Linked DNA regions of Lepisosteus oculatus. The protein of the gene in region 2 binds, or shares a complex with, the protein of the main gene of each other region. Links are inferred from orthologs where the notes say so. Each region holds a gene or a part of one and is shown on either strand. Other genes may lie near its edges.

Evidence for each region.
Region 1: the proteins of ints1 (region 2) and ints7 are in contact, whole or in part, in a cryo-EM structure (PDB 8RC4), measured with the Homo sapiens proteins. The link is inferred for Lepisosteus oculatus from reciprocal best matches to the Homo sapiens genes INTS1 and INTS7. Residues at the interface, in NP_001073922.2 of Homo sapiens: Leu1378, Gln1381, Gln1382, Gly1385, Gln1386, Ala1389, His1429, Phe1430, Leu1431, Cys1433, Pro1434, Arg1437, Gln1438, Cys1440, Gln1441, Pro1476, Ala1479, Gln1480, Met1483, Leu1484, Gln1487, Arg1552, Pro1554, His1555, Leu1556, Glu1557, Glu1558, Pro1613, Ser1614, Gly1616; in NP_056249.1 of Homo sapiens: His150, Asp151, Leu187, Ala188, Thr189, Pro190, Val191, Lys194, Thr223, Ser224, Tyr225, Pro226, Ser227, Thr228, Asn262, Asp263, Pro264, Arg265, Lys266, Pro303, Tyr304, Gln349, Glu350, Cys352, Tyr353, His354, Asn355, Arg357, Ala360, Gln384.

What each region holds. Positions count from the first base shown.
Region 1 is NC_090697.1:46,094,224-46,101,930, reverse strand, and holds the start of ints7 (integrator complex subunit 7), read right to left. Parts: upstream 3,153-7,707; 5' UTR 3,004-3,152; coding exon 2,910-3,003; intron 1,385-2,909; coding exon 1,255-1,384; intron 391-1,254; coding exon 244-390; intron 1-243. Other genes in the region: dtl (denticleless protein homolog), read left to right, coding at 3,622-3,673, 4,507-4,632, 6,110-6,202, 6,669-6,730, 7,173-7,293. UniProt on the Homo sapiens protein: Component of the integrator complex, a multiprotein complex that terminates RNA polymerase II (Pol II) transcription in the promoter-proximal region of genes.
Region 2 is NC_090714.1:1,264,120-1,271,969, forward strand, and holds the start of ints1 (integrator complex subunit 1), read right to left. Parts: upstream 3,264-7,850; 5' UTR 3,145-3,263; intron 3,097-3,144; exon of another isoform or gene 2,998-3,096; intron 2,597-2,997; 5' UTR 2,556-2,596; coding exon 2,498-2,555; intron 2,065-2,497; coding exon 1,774-2,064; intron 1,525-1,773; coding exon 1,328-1,524; intron 1,198-1,327; coding exon 1,060-1,197; intron 884-1,059; coding exon 724-883; intron 248-723; coding exon 138-247; intron 1-137. Other genes in the region: gaa2 (lysosomal alpha-glucosidase), read right to left, coding at 5,588-5,650, 5,964-6,110. UniProt on the Homo sapiens protein: Component of the integrator complex, a multiprotein complex that terminates RNA polymerase II (Pol II) transcription in the promoter-proximal region of genes.

The DNA.
Region 1 (7,707 bases), on a different chromosome or scaffold from region 2:
ACACGGGGAGAGCATAGAAACTCCATGTGGAAATTAACCCCCTGCGCCACACCATGAGGAACTCAGTATCTGCCATACTTTTCTAAGCAATTTCTTGTTACAAATGCCTTAGTGAGGGATCTCTGAGTGTCATGTAACTGATCCACAGGCTTGCTCTGGTATCTTTCTTTGGAAAAAGGCCATGTTTGATGATCCCTTTAATTATATAATTCTTACTTAATTATCGTTTACAATTCTCGGTACCTGAGAGTGATGGCTCTGGCCACTGGATCATTGCTGTGAATGACGGAGAAAATCCTCTTGACAAACTCATCAACATTTAAGATTTTTTCCAGGTGCTTCTCACTCTGTTGAGTCACCTTCAGCACACAGAGCCGTAGAAAATTGTTTCTGTGACAGAAAGACAGAACAATTGGGAGATAATGCCTACTGTTCATAAAAACACAAAAACTAAGGGTCCATCTTATTTTAAGATGGTTAAAAAGTAGATGTTTGTGACATACACCCTAGTATCACATTCAATTGGGTTTTAACATTACAGAATTTTAAAACAAGTCAGAAAGGAATATGATAACATTTCTCATTCAGCTAAAAAAACACAAGTTACTTTTTATTTTTGAAAAACATGTAATGACTCATTGGAATGTAAGTAATATAATAATAAACTGTGACTGCCAGATGAGCCCTGTTGTTGACTGCACTTTCAAAATTTTACAGGAAACAAAAGAGACGACCCCTTCTCTTAGGAATTCAAGGGAACGAAGGTGACATTCAGAAATGATGCTGTTAGATTTTGTTTGTAATGTCAAATTCAGCTTTCGTAGAGTAGCATTGTACTACCATGCAGAAGTCACTGAGTATTCCGAAATCACTAATTTCTAAAGTCTGGGACCACCTGTACTTTTTGTTCAATTAGGCCAGTAATTTTTCCAATTAAAGGAACACTTGTCCTTCAGGACTGAAGAGTTTTGCTCCCAATAATCTTCATACTACTTAATTTAACAAATTATCTGTGACTGATCACCAGTTACGTTTTGCATGGCTTCAGAACATGGTGAGTTCATGCTGCCATACTGTATAAAACCTTCTCCATTGAGGCATGCAAAAACTAAAACAGCCTGAAAAATCACACTAAATGCAAAAATTGTTTGATTTTTTTTCAATTTAGCAAGAAACCCTAAGAAGCAACTCAGTTAAGCAGAGCAGTAAAAGACGAAGTGCTGTGCTTGGAGGGGAGCTCATTTCAACACATACCCCAGTCTGAAGATGTCTGCCAGTTTCAGAAAGGCGGAGTTGATCAGGATAGGGAACGGGTATTTCTGGAACAGCTTGGGAAAGAGCACCACAGCTTCACACTGTTCTCCAAGCTTGCCGGACCGCAGCCCTTCAGGGGGGGAACGATTTTTACAATACTGGTTAGTAAAAAAACTGTGCTGCTGCACATCTGAAGACTCCAACTTAGGATTTCATACAGTAAATAACTTAAGATGAAAGAATTCAGGTGATACAACAATCTTGCAGTCTTTACAAGGATTGGTGCAGGATCTAAAAAGGATTTAGTGTATGTATATATGATTCAATGACATATACAGAAATACACAGCTAATGGAGGAAAAACAGAACTCATTCATTACATTAATTAAGCAATTAACAACCCAGCGTTCTTAGAGTCATGTATAGAAATGCTGGACAGGCCTGGTTGGCCTTTATTATAACTTCAAGGGGAGACATCAGTGACTTTGAAGGGGTGTTTAGCAGAAACTTAAGTGATCAAGAGTCATAGTGTCTAAGCTGATTTCAGCATGGAACCCAATAGAAAAGACATCTTCGGTCAGTCCTAACAATGGGTCAGTATACTCCAGGATGGTAATATCCAAGCATTAATCAGAACTACAAATTTCATCCTGGGGCACAAGCAGCCAGTTTAATCAAGAGAAATGCTGAGAAATCCACACAGCAGGATCATTTAGACGGGTTGCACAGCGCAAATCACTCATTACCTCTTGTAACACACGCCTGTAAGACTAGTGGTGCAAAGAGCACAGCAAATGGACTATCAAGTACTAGAAAAAGGTCATTTGTTTAGATAAATCGTTCTTCACCATTTTTGGCACCATCCTATAGAACTCTACAGCCCTGGGTACAGTAATGTTAAGGGGTACATTTTCCTGCCACAGTTTAGGTGAACTCCTTCCCTTAGAAGGTAAGGTTAATGTAACCACTACTTAATGGCACTGAGTGATCACCTTCACCCTGTGTTGCAGAATTTCTTCCCTGCCTGGAGGGGAGTCTTCCAGGATGTCAATGCCCTTAGCGCACGTGGTCACCCAGTGTTTTGATGAAGGTGACACTGCTGTTTTCCACATCACATGGCCTTCTCTGTTACCTGATCCAAACTCTACCAAGCATTTATGGGATATTCTGAACCGTGGGGTGAGATAGTGTTTTCCACTTCCATTAACCAGGTGAGAGTTGATTGGCTTTCTCGTGGAAGAATGGTGCTGCATCCCTTCTGCAGAATTGCATGGCACATTCGTGCATTCATTCCACTGGGTTGTGCATATTCTGTCTACTATCTGTATATACATAATATACTGTATATGTTACGATTTAGATTACACCATATAGCGCAGCAATCACTGAATAATAAGGACTGAACAAATTCGTCTCTCTCAGTAAAATGATTAATCATTGATCCAACAATTAGTTTAACTGCCTAATCTATACTGTGAGCAGCAGAGTCACAGTGGAACGGAAGAACCAAAACGGCCTAGGCTGGTGTTTACATGAATCCACCAAAACAAAGTATTTTTATTACAGAACAGCAGCACCCATGAACGACCTCTTACATTTTTAACAGCTCGAAGCTCAAAGCATTGCACGCGTTTTACTCAGGTGTGTGTAACTACCTTTGTCCAGCTCCATCAGAGCAGAATTGGCATCTAATTCTTGCTCCCCGTAACCAGCTTCTGACAAGAATGATCGCGCCGTTGTTAAAGACATGATTCCTAGACTGAAAGTCAAATATAGTCAACAATTTTCTCTATTACAATATACGTTTGAGAATCTGATTTTAAAAAGGACTTTTCAATTAAAACACAATCATACTGCATACATGGCACAAAAGAAACTGCTACATCCCAGCAGTGCAAAGCGGCAGGAAGTGACATAAACACTCGACTACCCGCCCATGACGTAAACGTGCTGCCGCCACTAGGCCGCAAGAAAGGCGCAATAACGTGACATCAGTGGATATTCAAAATGCTAGATGACCGGGAAGTTTTGGTACCTGTTTGAGGAGGTAATATTTTCTGTAGGTTATGGGAGAGGGTTGGGATCTGTACTTTATTGAGTAGTTAATCTGGATCCAGGTATCTCTGACTGGTACTCGCTTTGTTACGCAGAGTGGGTGGAGTCTGACCACTCTGTGCTTTCTTGACCAATCATGTAGCGAAACGTCATTTAGGCGGGTGTTTCGTATTCTTTTTTCATTTCTGAGTTCGCGGGAAAGGGTACTTGTGTATTTCATTAGGAAGAGATACACAGCTAGTGGTGCTGCATTGTGAAATTTAAATCCATTTAATTTGCAATTGAGTTTTAAACACAATAACAAATTGCAAGATGCTATTTCGTTCCATTGTTGATAGAGGAGTTCTCAGAAGGAGGCACAATGGTAAGTTAAATTAGCTGCTAGGTGATGATTTAATATAGAGTACTGGCTCTCTAGTCAATTAATCTTCAAAACTGGGGGAGGAATGCGTTAGATCTTCACATTTTGCCTCTTAAATACCTTGCATAGTATTTGAATCAAGACTTATTTAAAGAGAGAAAGTAAAAAGATCGACCATTTCTTGTTTAACTTGTTTCTTTTGGGGGGCGTTCTGAAATTAGCTTTTGTGTCTATTTATGCCATTATCTTCTAATTATGAGGTGATCAACGCGGATGAATATATTTAAAGTGCTTTTCATTCATTTTATTTTTCCTAAAGTAAAAGGATTCGCTTTTGCTGCTCAAAATGGTGCTCTTTCTTCCTCTACGGTGGGGTGTTAAAATGTAAAGATGAGGGGGTTGGGTGGGAAACACGCTTCAATACGATTCATTTTCGGTTTTTCTCTGTGTGAAACCATCTAAAATCAGCTTCTTAACTCATCGGTTTCGAGAAAGCAATACCAAAATCCATTATATTGATGATATTGGTGATCGCGATGTGGACACGGAAGCTTTTATCAATGCGATCAGTATTTCTAAAACAGAGGCCACACTGTAAAACGGCGTTTAGACCAATGAAACTTTTAGGATTCATTGAATTTATTTATGAAACTCTTAACTGTTCTATTTAACGTTAAACTATATTTTAAAGGATTTAAGCAAAATCGCGTACGAAGTAGATCGTAGAAACTTACACTCTGACGGAGTTTTTTAAATGAATAGATGTGGACGGGAGCGGTCGCGCGGGCTTAATTTAACAAGAATGAATGAACTCTCAACACTGTTTTCCCTTACAGGGCCGGAGCGTGTGTATCCGCTTTCCTCCCTGTTAGATTGTTACCAGTGTGCTAGACAAGATGAGCACATCTCGTATGGCGATATGGGGGTTCCAGTTCCTCCCTTCGGATGCACGTTTTCTACAGGTAGAGGATCGCCAAAAAGTCTATTTGTGTTTTAGCCTGTTACAAGCTAAATATGATGTGGATTGAAATAAATCGCCCTCATCTTAAATCCTCACTTTTTGCTCATTTCCTTATTTGGTTTGATATTAAATCCAGTAACGTGACTGGGTTTTTTCTTTAAATCCCACTCTGTAGCTTTACCTGTTGAGGGCACCTCGTTTGAGTTCTAAATTGGAAGAATGGATTTGGGGATTATCTTCGATCCTGCTTCATTTTGAAACCCATGTAGCAGATATAAAAAGTCTACACACCCTTACTGAAATTACAGGTTTTTGTGATGTAAAGCCAGAAATCAAAGAAAAATTATGTCAGACATATTTGCGTCTTTAATGTGACCTTGCACCCAACAAAACTCAAGAGAAAAACAAATGGATAATTATTAGGAAAAATAATTTAAATAAAAAATAACTGCTTTATGCACAGTGCTTGTTTTTCCTTCTTAGAAATGTTCTAGGTTACCTCCTAAGGTGTCCGCTCTTTAGAGGGGGTTGGGGAGGATGTTTCTGCATTTCTTTGTGCAGGAATCTCTAGGCTACTCTTAAATTACAGTAGGTTCAAAATTCGGAAGCTAAATCCCGACTAGGTCACTTACAAATGATCTTGTCACGTCACTCCTGTTTTGGAGTGTTTGGATTCCTGTTCCTGTTAATTTCCAAATCCTTCTTACCTTCATTAGTCTACATGGTGCGACCCTCTGGTATCTAGTCAGTATCTATACCCTTTTCCTCCTTTCCACTCTTTTTGACTTGGATCTTTTTTGGTGTTTCTGTGGTTCATCTACACTTTCGGGGTGATACCACATTCTGTCGCTATGCTCTGGAATACCATCTATGAGTAATGCAGCAACATTTTAGTGCTTTTAATTCTAGTCTAAAACCTTATTTTTCTGAAAAACATTGTCACTGTTTTATATTCTTTATCTCCTTCGTTTTTTGGCTTTGTGATTTGACCTTATTGTGAAATGTACTTTTTATGTATTGTAAATTCCGAAATTACTTTTTAACACAACTATGTTAAAGCTTGTTATATAGATGTCAGGTATAGGTGTTTAGCTTTGTTTAGTCTTTATCAGAGGCGTTTAAAGAGCAAATTACAACTAAATAAGGATGAGTTAAGACGAACATCATCTTTTATACAGCTGAACAGTTTACATGTCTTATTAAAGGACTTTTATGTCTAGAAAGACACGGCAAGTTAATGGCTGTTGACAAACAGCACACTGTTCTGTAAAATTAATTTGGTGTTGACTGGAGTTCATCTGCTTGTGAGATTTCTTTTCTGAAAATTGTGAGTTAGCAGTAATTTTTACAAAATTGCTTAGTGTCAGATTTAAGACGTGAAAATGGATTCTGTTACTCGTAGTTAGTTCCTCTGGTGTTATACACAGAAAACTTTTCTCAGGATAATTGTCGCTGTAACGTGGGTCTCTGTTCACTAGCTCCAGGCCTGCAGCAGATCCTGGCTGTGGCAAACGAAGAAGGTGTCGTCAGGCTGTACGACACAGAGTCACGCAGGCGTCCACTTTTGAAAGGTAAAGAGTGATTGAAAGGGTCTCCATTTATCTGAATCAACTCTGCTTCTTTGCTTGATTCCCCCCCCCTCCCCCCAGTCATAACATCGTCATACAGCACAAGCCTTTGCTTATAAAGTTTCCGTCTAACAGACCTAAAGTGGAATGAACTACGACTGTTGGAGCCATTGTCCTCCCTGTTCCAATACCTTGCAATACCTTATTGCCACACTTCACTTCCTGAAAAGATCCTGATGTGAATAGTGTCCCCTAAGATGTGAGCACTCGTCACTTTTCCACACAAAAGAAAAACACCAGACCAGGAGGTGTTTAGTAAAGACATCTGTATCTGTGCAGTGATGAATGATAATTTCATTTTGTAAAGGAAGTAAAAAACTTTTACCAATTCCTTCACAGGAATGAACACGTGGGTGTCTTCTGAAAAGTATGTACTTGAACCTTAGCTCTTTGTCCCCCCTCTCTTTAGATTGGCTGGCTCACACGAATGCCGTCTTTGATATTGCCTGGGTTCCTGGAGAGCCGCGACTTGTGAGTGCCATTGATTTCTTACATGTGAAGAAACCGTGTCTCAAAAATTCTAAATTAACTAAAGCAAACACCTAGTATCTTTTTAGATATTTAGGTATATTTTAACCAGTTCAAGCAGAGCTCAGACATTCTGTCTTGTGGTTGTAGATCCTCTGTTGTCTCTGTCTGTTATCCTATAGGAAAACTAAATTACTTGGAATTCAAGTGTAATCTCAAAACTCTGTACAGGATTTTGCTATTAATAAATATTGATCCTTTTTCCAGTCTGGAGTTTTAGAAAACTCTACAATGTAATGGGAGTTTCTGCAAATGTTTTCTCTGTAAGGAGTATCATATCTCCTTTACTGGTTTATCACCCTCTAGAGATGGACATGTCTGTCCAGTGACTCAGGATTCATACACCTGCTGTTCTCCAGTAATGGATTCCCTTGTTACCCCACAGGTTACAGCATCTGGGGACCAGACAGCAAAGCTGTGGGATGTGAAGACAGAAGACCTCCTGGGCACCTTCAAAGGGCACCAGTGCAGCCTGAAATCGGTAGCTTTTGCAAGGCAGGAAAAGGGTGAGGCTCACAGAACTGAGCAATGACTTTTCTACCCCCCAAAAAAAACATGTCTTGCTCCAGTGTTACGTCTGGAACCTGGTTAAGATATGAAAAAATTGACACAACAGAAAAAGACGTTGCAAAGGTGGAGCTTCTCACCTGAAGTTCTAATGGGTTGGTAACAAGTTGGAAGGACCTCAGTCTGGTAGCAAAAGTACCTTTGTGATCTTTGGGGAATATTTTTGACAGCAGATATTTCTTATATCTGGGCAGAATTTACGCTAGAGTCTCAGCACTGATAACTCTAATTCAGAATTGCAGCCAGCATTGACCATGAAAAGTTCAGTTCCTCATCACCTTAGTGAATAGTAATGAGAATCAAAGCTCTGTGTCTCATGCAGAATGAATGAAAAGGTGCAATGCTTAAATTCT
Region 2 (7,850 bases):
TTAGGGAGGGAGGGAACCATGCCCAATCAGGGACCCCAGGCCAGCGTGAGCCTGTGAGCAAGGGACAGCCCACGCGAAACAGGAAGCTAAGCCCTGGAGTCAGGATCAATATTGAGAAACCACTGCTAGTGTAAGAGGTACCTGGGCATAACCTGTCCCTCATCTTCCGGACTCAGTTTCTCTTCAGCGATCAGCAGCTCTGTCTGACTGTCGTCCTCATCTGGGGTGGACGGGTGAGGGCTGCTGCCTACAGAAGGAAAAACCAGAACCGCCATTTCTGTTTCAGAGCACCAGTTTCCAGTCTTTGAGATGCAAGCAGTCCTTTCCATGTTGTCGGCGTTAGTGTGTTGCGCAGGCACACAGCTGGAGTGAAGGTTAATTTATTCTTTAAGGCTCCTGAACTTTGTAGTTCATCTGCTCATATATTTTTTCCATACCCCGTCTGGCCAGTTACCCAAAACAAACACTTTGTGCCGCAGATGTCAGCTTTAGATGGACAGAACATGCATGGCTCCCAGTAACTGTAAGGATATCCCAGTAAGGATATTTTAAGAACTCATTTATTGATTTGTGTACCTTACCACATGTCTGCTTTATGATGTCTGATATGATATTGTAGATATTTACAAGGATGATTTTTAATTAGTTCTGATTTTTCTTCAATCTGTTCTCTTCAAACCTTGCCACAGATCCACAGTTCAAAGACACTGTAAATGCCTGTACCTGCACTGAGATCCCCTCCTGAGCGCCCAGCATCAGTCTGCAGCAGCATGCTCTTCGGGGGCATCTTCGTGGTGAAAGCAGTTTGGATGTTGTCAACAAAGGTTTTACAATGTGGACTGTCTACCCAGATCCGTTCTCCCAAAGAATCTTCAATATACACCTAAAGAAGGAAAAAATGTACAGTGTAAAAAAAATCATGAGATCTTAAAAAAAAAAAACTTGACTTCAAAAATGATCTGACATGTACAATGGACAACATTTTTCTTTTTTTCCCCTCAAATGTGACAATAAATACTCATATCACGCAAAGTGAAGAAAACAGCAGCTGGCCCTCACTTTCACAAATATTTCAGGCCAGTTTTCATCCTCCTCATAGGCAGCCATTAGCAGATTACAGGCCAGCACCGAGACAAGGCTGTTCCCCTTGGCCTTGAAATTGATGGAGGCATCACGGCGCAGCAAGCTGCACAGAGCCTGTCAAAAGACAAGACAAGTTGCTGGTGACAGGGAGGAAAGCTGAAGGCAGGCAACGCGGGAGCTGCAATAATAAATTACATTTCTTTTCCCACATCCCCCCCAAAAAAATCACTGGAATGCCGCCAACCTCGATGACTCCTTCGGTGGCAAAGACATTGGGCTTGATCTTGGCGAGGAACATGAGGCTGAGGTAAAGAGTGATGTCGGGTTTTGCGCGGTTGATTTTCAGCTGTTTCACTGCACCGCAGAGGATGCCCTCAATGCGATCATCGTTCCCCTCGGCCTCTGCGGCCTCGATCTCATCAAGCAGCACAGCAGGTGGGACTGCAGGGGCACCAGACGAGAGTTAGCAGGGAAGACGAAACCCTTCTTAAAACGACTGTGCAGAAAATTCAGATTTCAGTGGAAAATGCTGACAAAAGAAACATACAGTGGTAACACAAAAAGAAGCACGTTACTTTTCCGATACGATAATGCATCCGTGTTTCTAGATGTAAACTAAATCAAAGCTACTGATTTATTTCCTTGAGTGTTATTGTTCTTAGATTGACATTGACTGATATCATTTCTCACCTTCAATAGGCACAACGGAAGGCTCCTTGATGGAAGGTGATATAGCCCTCTTGTCCACAGAGGCCACGTCCGCCAGGCGCCCCAGAGCACTGAGGGGAGGGGTGGAAGAAAGCTTGGGGCGCTTGGTGAGACCCGAAAGGCCTGAGGCAGAGGGCAGAGTGGACGCGGCCTCCCTCTTGCGATCGGAAGGCAAGCTGGTGGAAGCCGGCTTCAGTAACACGGCCGGCGCCTTGGGTTCACTCGCCTGACTCTTTGAGCCCAAAGCAATAAAATCTCCGGGTGGAGGGTGACCTAGGAGAGCAATACAGACTTCACAGGACCTATGCAATTCAATTTGAATGACAGCACTAACAAAACTCAATCGCCAACGCGCACAAGTTCAAAGACGTCACGTAGAGATGAGGTGGGGAGCTGCGTCAACATGCGTAGGCCGCAAAGGAACAAGTAATAGGTTTATTCCCTGCTGAAAAGAGAAAAAAACACAACGTTTCACACCTGAAGAAGGCTCCACAGCCAAAACGTTGTGTTCTCTTTCTTCTCTTTTCAGCATGGAATAAACCTATTACTTGTTCCTGTGTAGAGATTTGTACAGAAAGAAAATTATTCTTCAAAACATCAGAAACATCTCAGTGAACTGAAGACTGGGGGATTTTGAACTTTTTGAATAGTTTCATTAACTAATACCTGCTATCACATTTCAAGCATGTGAAGGATTATGATTTACCTGAAGGTTTGGCTGCACTGCTGGGCCGCCTGATTGTAGCAGGCTTTGGTCGATTCATTCTGCTGGAAATGTCAATGTCTCACATCAGATGTAGAAATTCTGGCCCGATAAGGGGAGAAATAAATGGTCATGAAAACAAGCCCAAAACGTCATTCTTAAGCAGGCAAAACCATAAAAACAGACCAACTAAAGCTAATAACATGTTTCACAAATACTTAAGTAGCATAGTCCACTTTAAAAACAAATATTTTGATTTAGTCATTTTATTACAGTAAACTCATATCATTGTGCAAAAAGGCGATGGATATGTCTGCCCCAGATTAAGAGTTTCACAGACCCACACGATATTAAACGTTTTTTTTTCTACTCTGAAAATTATACATACTGTACGCACATACGCTGCAAATAGATGATCTCGTACACATAATGCAGTAGGTTAGTAACAAATGCGTCACTTAATGGTTAACTCTGAGCAAAGTTAACATTTACACATGAAATACCTCCTAAGGGGCACACGACCGGGTACGCATCACTCATTCCCGTCGCACGACAGGTTATCAGACCAATGCACAACACTTTAAACCAATGCGCTATCTTCTACTCATCACAAATAGAGAAGCGACTACGGAAGGGGCAGGGAGAATCACCTTTATATTTGAGATTTATCTGATTCCCATGGCCATTGTTTACCTCCGGAACTGAAACCTTGAGAAGACGGTGCAGCAGCCGTTCAGCACGGCCGAACCCAAGGGAACCGGAAACGGAAACCTCCCCCCGGAGAGGAGCGGAACTGAACTGCAACGACTGCGGGGTCACCCGGAACGAAAATAAAGCAGAGCGGGCAGTTTAAAACGTGTTTGCATCTGTTCCCTGTCCAAAATCATTAACACAGGCCACGTTCAGAGGTGGAGTTTCTCTTTTATGATTAGAAATAGTCAGGTATTAAATTATTAGGTTTTTATAAAACCGAAAAAGATAACCGTATAGTAATTAAATTAAAACAAAATTCAGCTTAATCTTTTTTTGACAATGCATTTTTTGGAACTGCATTGTAATAAGTCCTTCAGGCCTAACATTTTATGAAATATTTTTTTAAGAATTAATAGACTCGGATTTTAACATTCTTATCAGTAAGTTTTGTTTCCGTTTCAGTAGTGGCAAGTGCCTAAGCTGAATCCATACGTATTCTGCCACTAGAACGTTTGGGTTTTTAACTTTTTTCTCCTTTTAGCAAAAGAAACAAATACAAAACGGTTGGCAAACTATGGATTTTATTTTGTAAAGATCCAATAAATGTACATAAGCTTTAGCATTACTTAAACCGCTCAAATCAATGTTTAACAAAGCAAACCTTTATTTAAATATAAATACAAAAGTTCTCATTCATCTGCATTGATTCAAGAAAAGAATCAAGGGGAAGAACTGTGATTTTTACAGCAGATAAAGATATTTGCAGGCCACTGTGCAGCATGAAGGGTTAATATAAGGCTCATCCCTAATAAAGGTACTCCTAACACTTAGCTGAGCAAAGTTCTTCAACGAACCTTCATTTCACTGATGCTGTAAATTCAGATCAGTTATCTTTTCACAGGATGGTGCTCATCATGCTAGATGGAGATATTTTAACCCGTCCATCCAACTGCTTTCCTAATCCAGGGTTGCAGGGGAGCCACAGCCTATCCTGGCAGGCTACGGGTGCAAGGCAGTCTCATACTTGACCACGAGAGGAGCCTGGAGCACCCACACCAGCACGTGGAGAACATGCAAACTCCACGCAGACAGAACCCCAGGTCTGGAACTGAACCCGGGGCCCCGGCGCTGCGCCACCATGCAGCCCCAGACATTTTATAAAACTCAAAAAAGAAGAAACAAATTCCACCACAGAATTATTAAATGACTATCAGGACATGCTGCATTAACCAAACATTTGCTGCAGTGTAATATTATTTATCCATCTACATCTCTCAAAACAACTTTCATCCAAGATTGTACAGGAGCACAAAAGAAGAGTTATTTGACAACAGGGAAAAGGGTTACATTGGTAATTATTTGCTTTGACACTAAAAGTTCCCCACACTGCATAAAGCTTTTTAGTTGTATTTCATATCTATGCTCATTGGCCCATTAAAACGAATTAAGAATGACAATTTATTTGCAATACATTTATTTTAGACTTTTACATATAAAAATAAAATGGCTTTTTCTTAGCATTGTCTTGCCGGATTGATTCAAAGAAATCTGGAAGTTATTGAAACCACATAATCAAGCAGTTGTGCTCTTCATACATCGTCTTTAAATAAACAACATTTTATTAATAAATCATATTAGACTCATTTTGGGAACACTTTAAATCTTGCACAATTAAAATATATTGCAAAAATTGAGACTGAAATGGCGCTATTAAATGCAATTTCTTAGTTTGCATCTAGAAATCAACAATACCTAGATATATAATCTGATTTAGATTAGCTTTAACACTTGGATGACTTCAAGGCACTATGCAGTTACCATAATCTAAGGTCTAATGTACAGAAAATATAGCTCCTGTGATCTCTGGTACCATTTTTGTTTTCAAACTCTAACAGCAATCCTCTCCGAATTAAAGAAAAGGCTTACTCAAGCAACACTCAAGGTCCTGAAAATACTGACCATTTTTACATTCAATTGAAAATGAATTGTTAAACCATCAGACGGGTGTTTTAGTGCAATTAAAAATTCTCCGAAAAGAAAGTGAATGTCAAAATAGGAACCTAAATGGTGCTATTGAATGGAAAACGTAACACTTGAAATCATTTTAATCAATGTATCTATTTTTACCACATAAACAGACCTGCTGCCCTATGATACCATGTGCTATCCCCTGAGACTCTAAGGATAGAATTTCTATTAAAATATTCCCACTGCTAAATACTAGTGCTTACGGTTTCATTTTCTGTATGATAAGATACATTTGCTAAGTAAACAATCCTTACACTTGTCAGCCTTTTTAAAATAAAAAGCCATAATCAGAAAAAAATCACAAAAAGTAGCAGCAAAAGATCCAGTGTCATGAACAGACGAGAGCAGACATCCCTCGTGGGTCTTAATGGTTTAGATCCAGCTGATTGTAAACTCTTGGCCCAGATTGAGAACCAGGTTACTCACGGTTAAAACCTGTAAAACAGATAGGAAGAATAACAATCAAATACACTTTCATGTTCAGATCATCAATAAAAAGCCGTTATTTCTCTGTACAGTTCTTATAACACAAAAGGGAAGATAATTATTTCAGGAGTATCTATAAAAGAATTTTGTACCTAGAAATGTGTCCAGCTACACTGTAATAATGAAGTTATTCCAGAAAAAAAACACTCTGAGGAAAAAAGTGCACTAAAGATGAACCTGCATTGATAAAAACAGGCATACTGTAAGCAAAAAGACTCATTGATTTGCAAGAGTAAGAATAGTTCAAGATAATATTTTGCACCTGGTTGGTTTTGTAGGTGAATGGAGTTTCTTTTGAATTCACAGTAACATTTGATGGCATCTGTTTGACTCCAAAGAACGACACCGTTTCCACTGTAATGTAGGTCGCCTCTATATTCTCATGAAGCACTTTGGAAGTGAACATATTCTAGGAAGACAAAGACGAAAACCTTTGAATAACAAAGATTATTTCAACTCAATAAAACAAAAGGGCAGAGCTTTAGCCTCTACAATACAAAACATTTTTCATTTTACTTGAAGAAATAGGATTTCCAGAAGACATGCCAAGTTTGTGTTAAGAATGATGCAAGTTCTGGAAATATATAGCAGTGAGTAAGCCAGGAATAAAAGAAAATCGCTTTGCCAGACAAGAAAACCACAAAGCACACATGGAAAAATTATGCAAATATACAGCTTTTGCAGTGAGTAAGACATGGACTTAAGTAATTAGTCATAATGAACTCCTCTTCTGGTCAGAGAAACAATACTTTTCTCTGTGCATGTACAAATCCATCAGAATACTGACATTATGTCTTTCGTAGCTGCTTTCAAGCAGAGAGTGCTTTTAAATGTTTAATAGCATGTATTTGAAATTGTATTTCTGAAACCCCAAACTTCTGGACAGCAAAGATGCTTTGACAGACCTAAAGAATGTGCATCTTGATGAAAGTTAAATGCCTACAGTGTATTTTCAGAACAAGAGAAGACAAACCAAGACCAAGCCTTTTTTTGGTTGGTTTTGCCAAACCAAAGTAGTTACACAATGCGTTTTTTTTTATGAAATATATATTTCTATGAGATCAGGAAAGTGCCTAACCAGTGTCCCAAATATAAGCAACAAACCACAATTGAAAGGTCTGCATTTTCTTCACAAACAGCTTTTTACCCAGAAGCCATTCAAAGGTAATGCTGAATAGAATGTCTTGGCAGAAAAAGCCCAAGGTATCATATATCATATCGCTTGCTGAAATACGTTTTCACTCCAGGTCTGTCCTTTGGATTCAAAAAGACATTTCACTGCCTTAACTGTGATCATACAATTAGCTACAATTAAAGAAACTGGAAAGTAAGTCTCCGTTTCTGCTGGGATCCAGGTTCGTTAGTTATACAATAGATGACTCCTGAACGGCATTTTAAATTAAAGCCTTTCATTTAGAGCTACAATTCTCTGTCCTGCAAGTTAGAAATTTGTGAAAGGATATTTAATTCTATTTAATAGCACATTACAAATCTAACTGTTTAAAAGTCTATGGTATTGTTAACTGAAATATAACTAATTCTCATCCCATCGATGAAAACAAATCTAGCTCAGAAATTACAAATTAATTACATGTTAAATGTAGATAACCTACACTGTTTCTTTCAAATTATGGGATGGTACTAATTCCTCTGCTTGTAAAAGACTGGAGCTGAAGAGGCACTAGGGGATTTGGGATTGTAAATAATCCAATGGGTTATACTGATCAGCAGAGAAAAAGGGGTTTTATTACTTCAAGGAAAATGGAGAAAGCTTAATGAAGCCAATTGCAGCAGACGCATGTATCATGTCTCCTGAGCACACTTAACGTTTCTCTACTCTTTTCTCTCATGCTAAGGTAACACTCAAGGATGTTTGGGGTTCCACAAAACAATCAGTGCTTCACTTTTTAAAAGCAACTGAAAAGTTCAGTCACAGAAAGTCATCCACTATTCTCATTCTCGGTTGAGCTGTACTAATTGAACTGGGTCTTAGGGACTCACTTGCGCTGAGAAAAGTGAATTGAGGACTGCTGTGGTGTCCGTTAATCACAGTAAATTAAAAGGAATGTGTATTTCCCATCCCTGTAATTTGCACTGTATACATGAAACTGATTAATACTGAATATTCTGATGCATATGAAAAACTCAT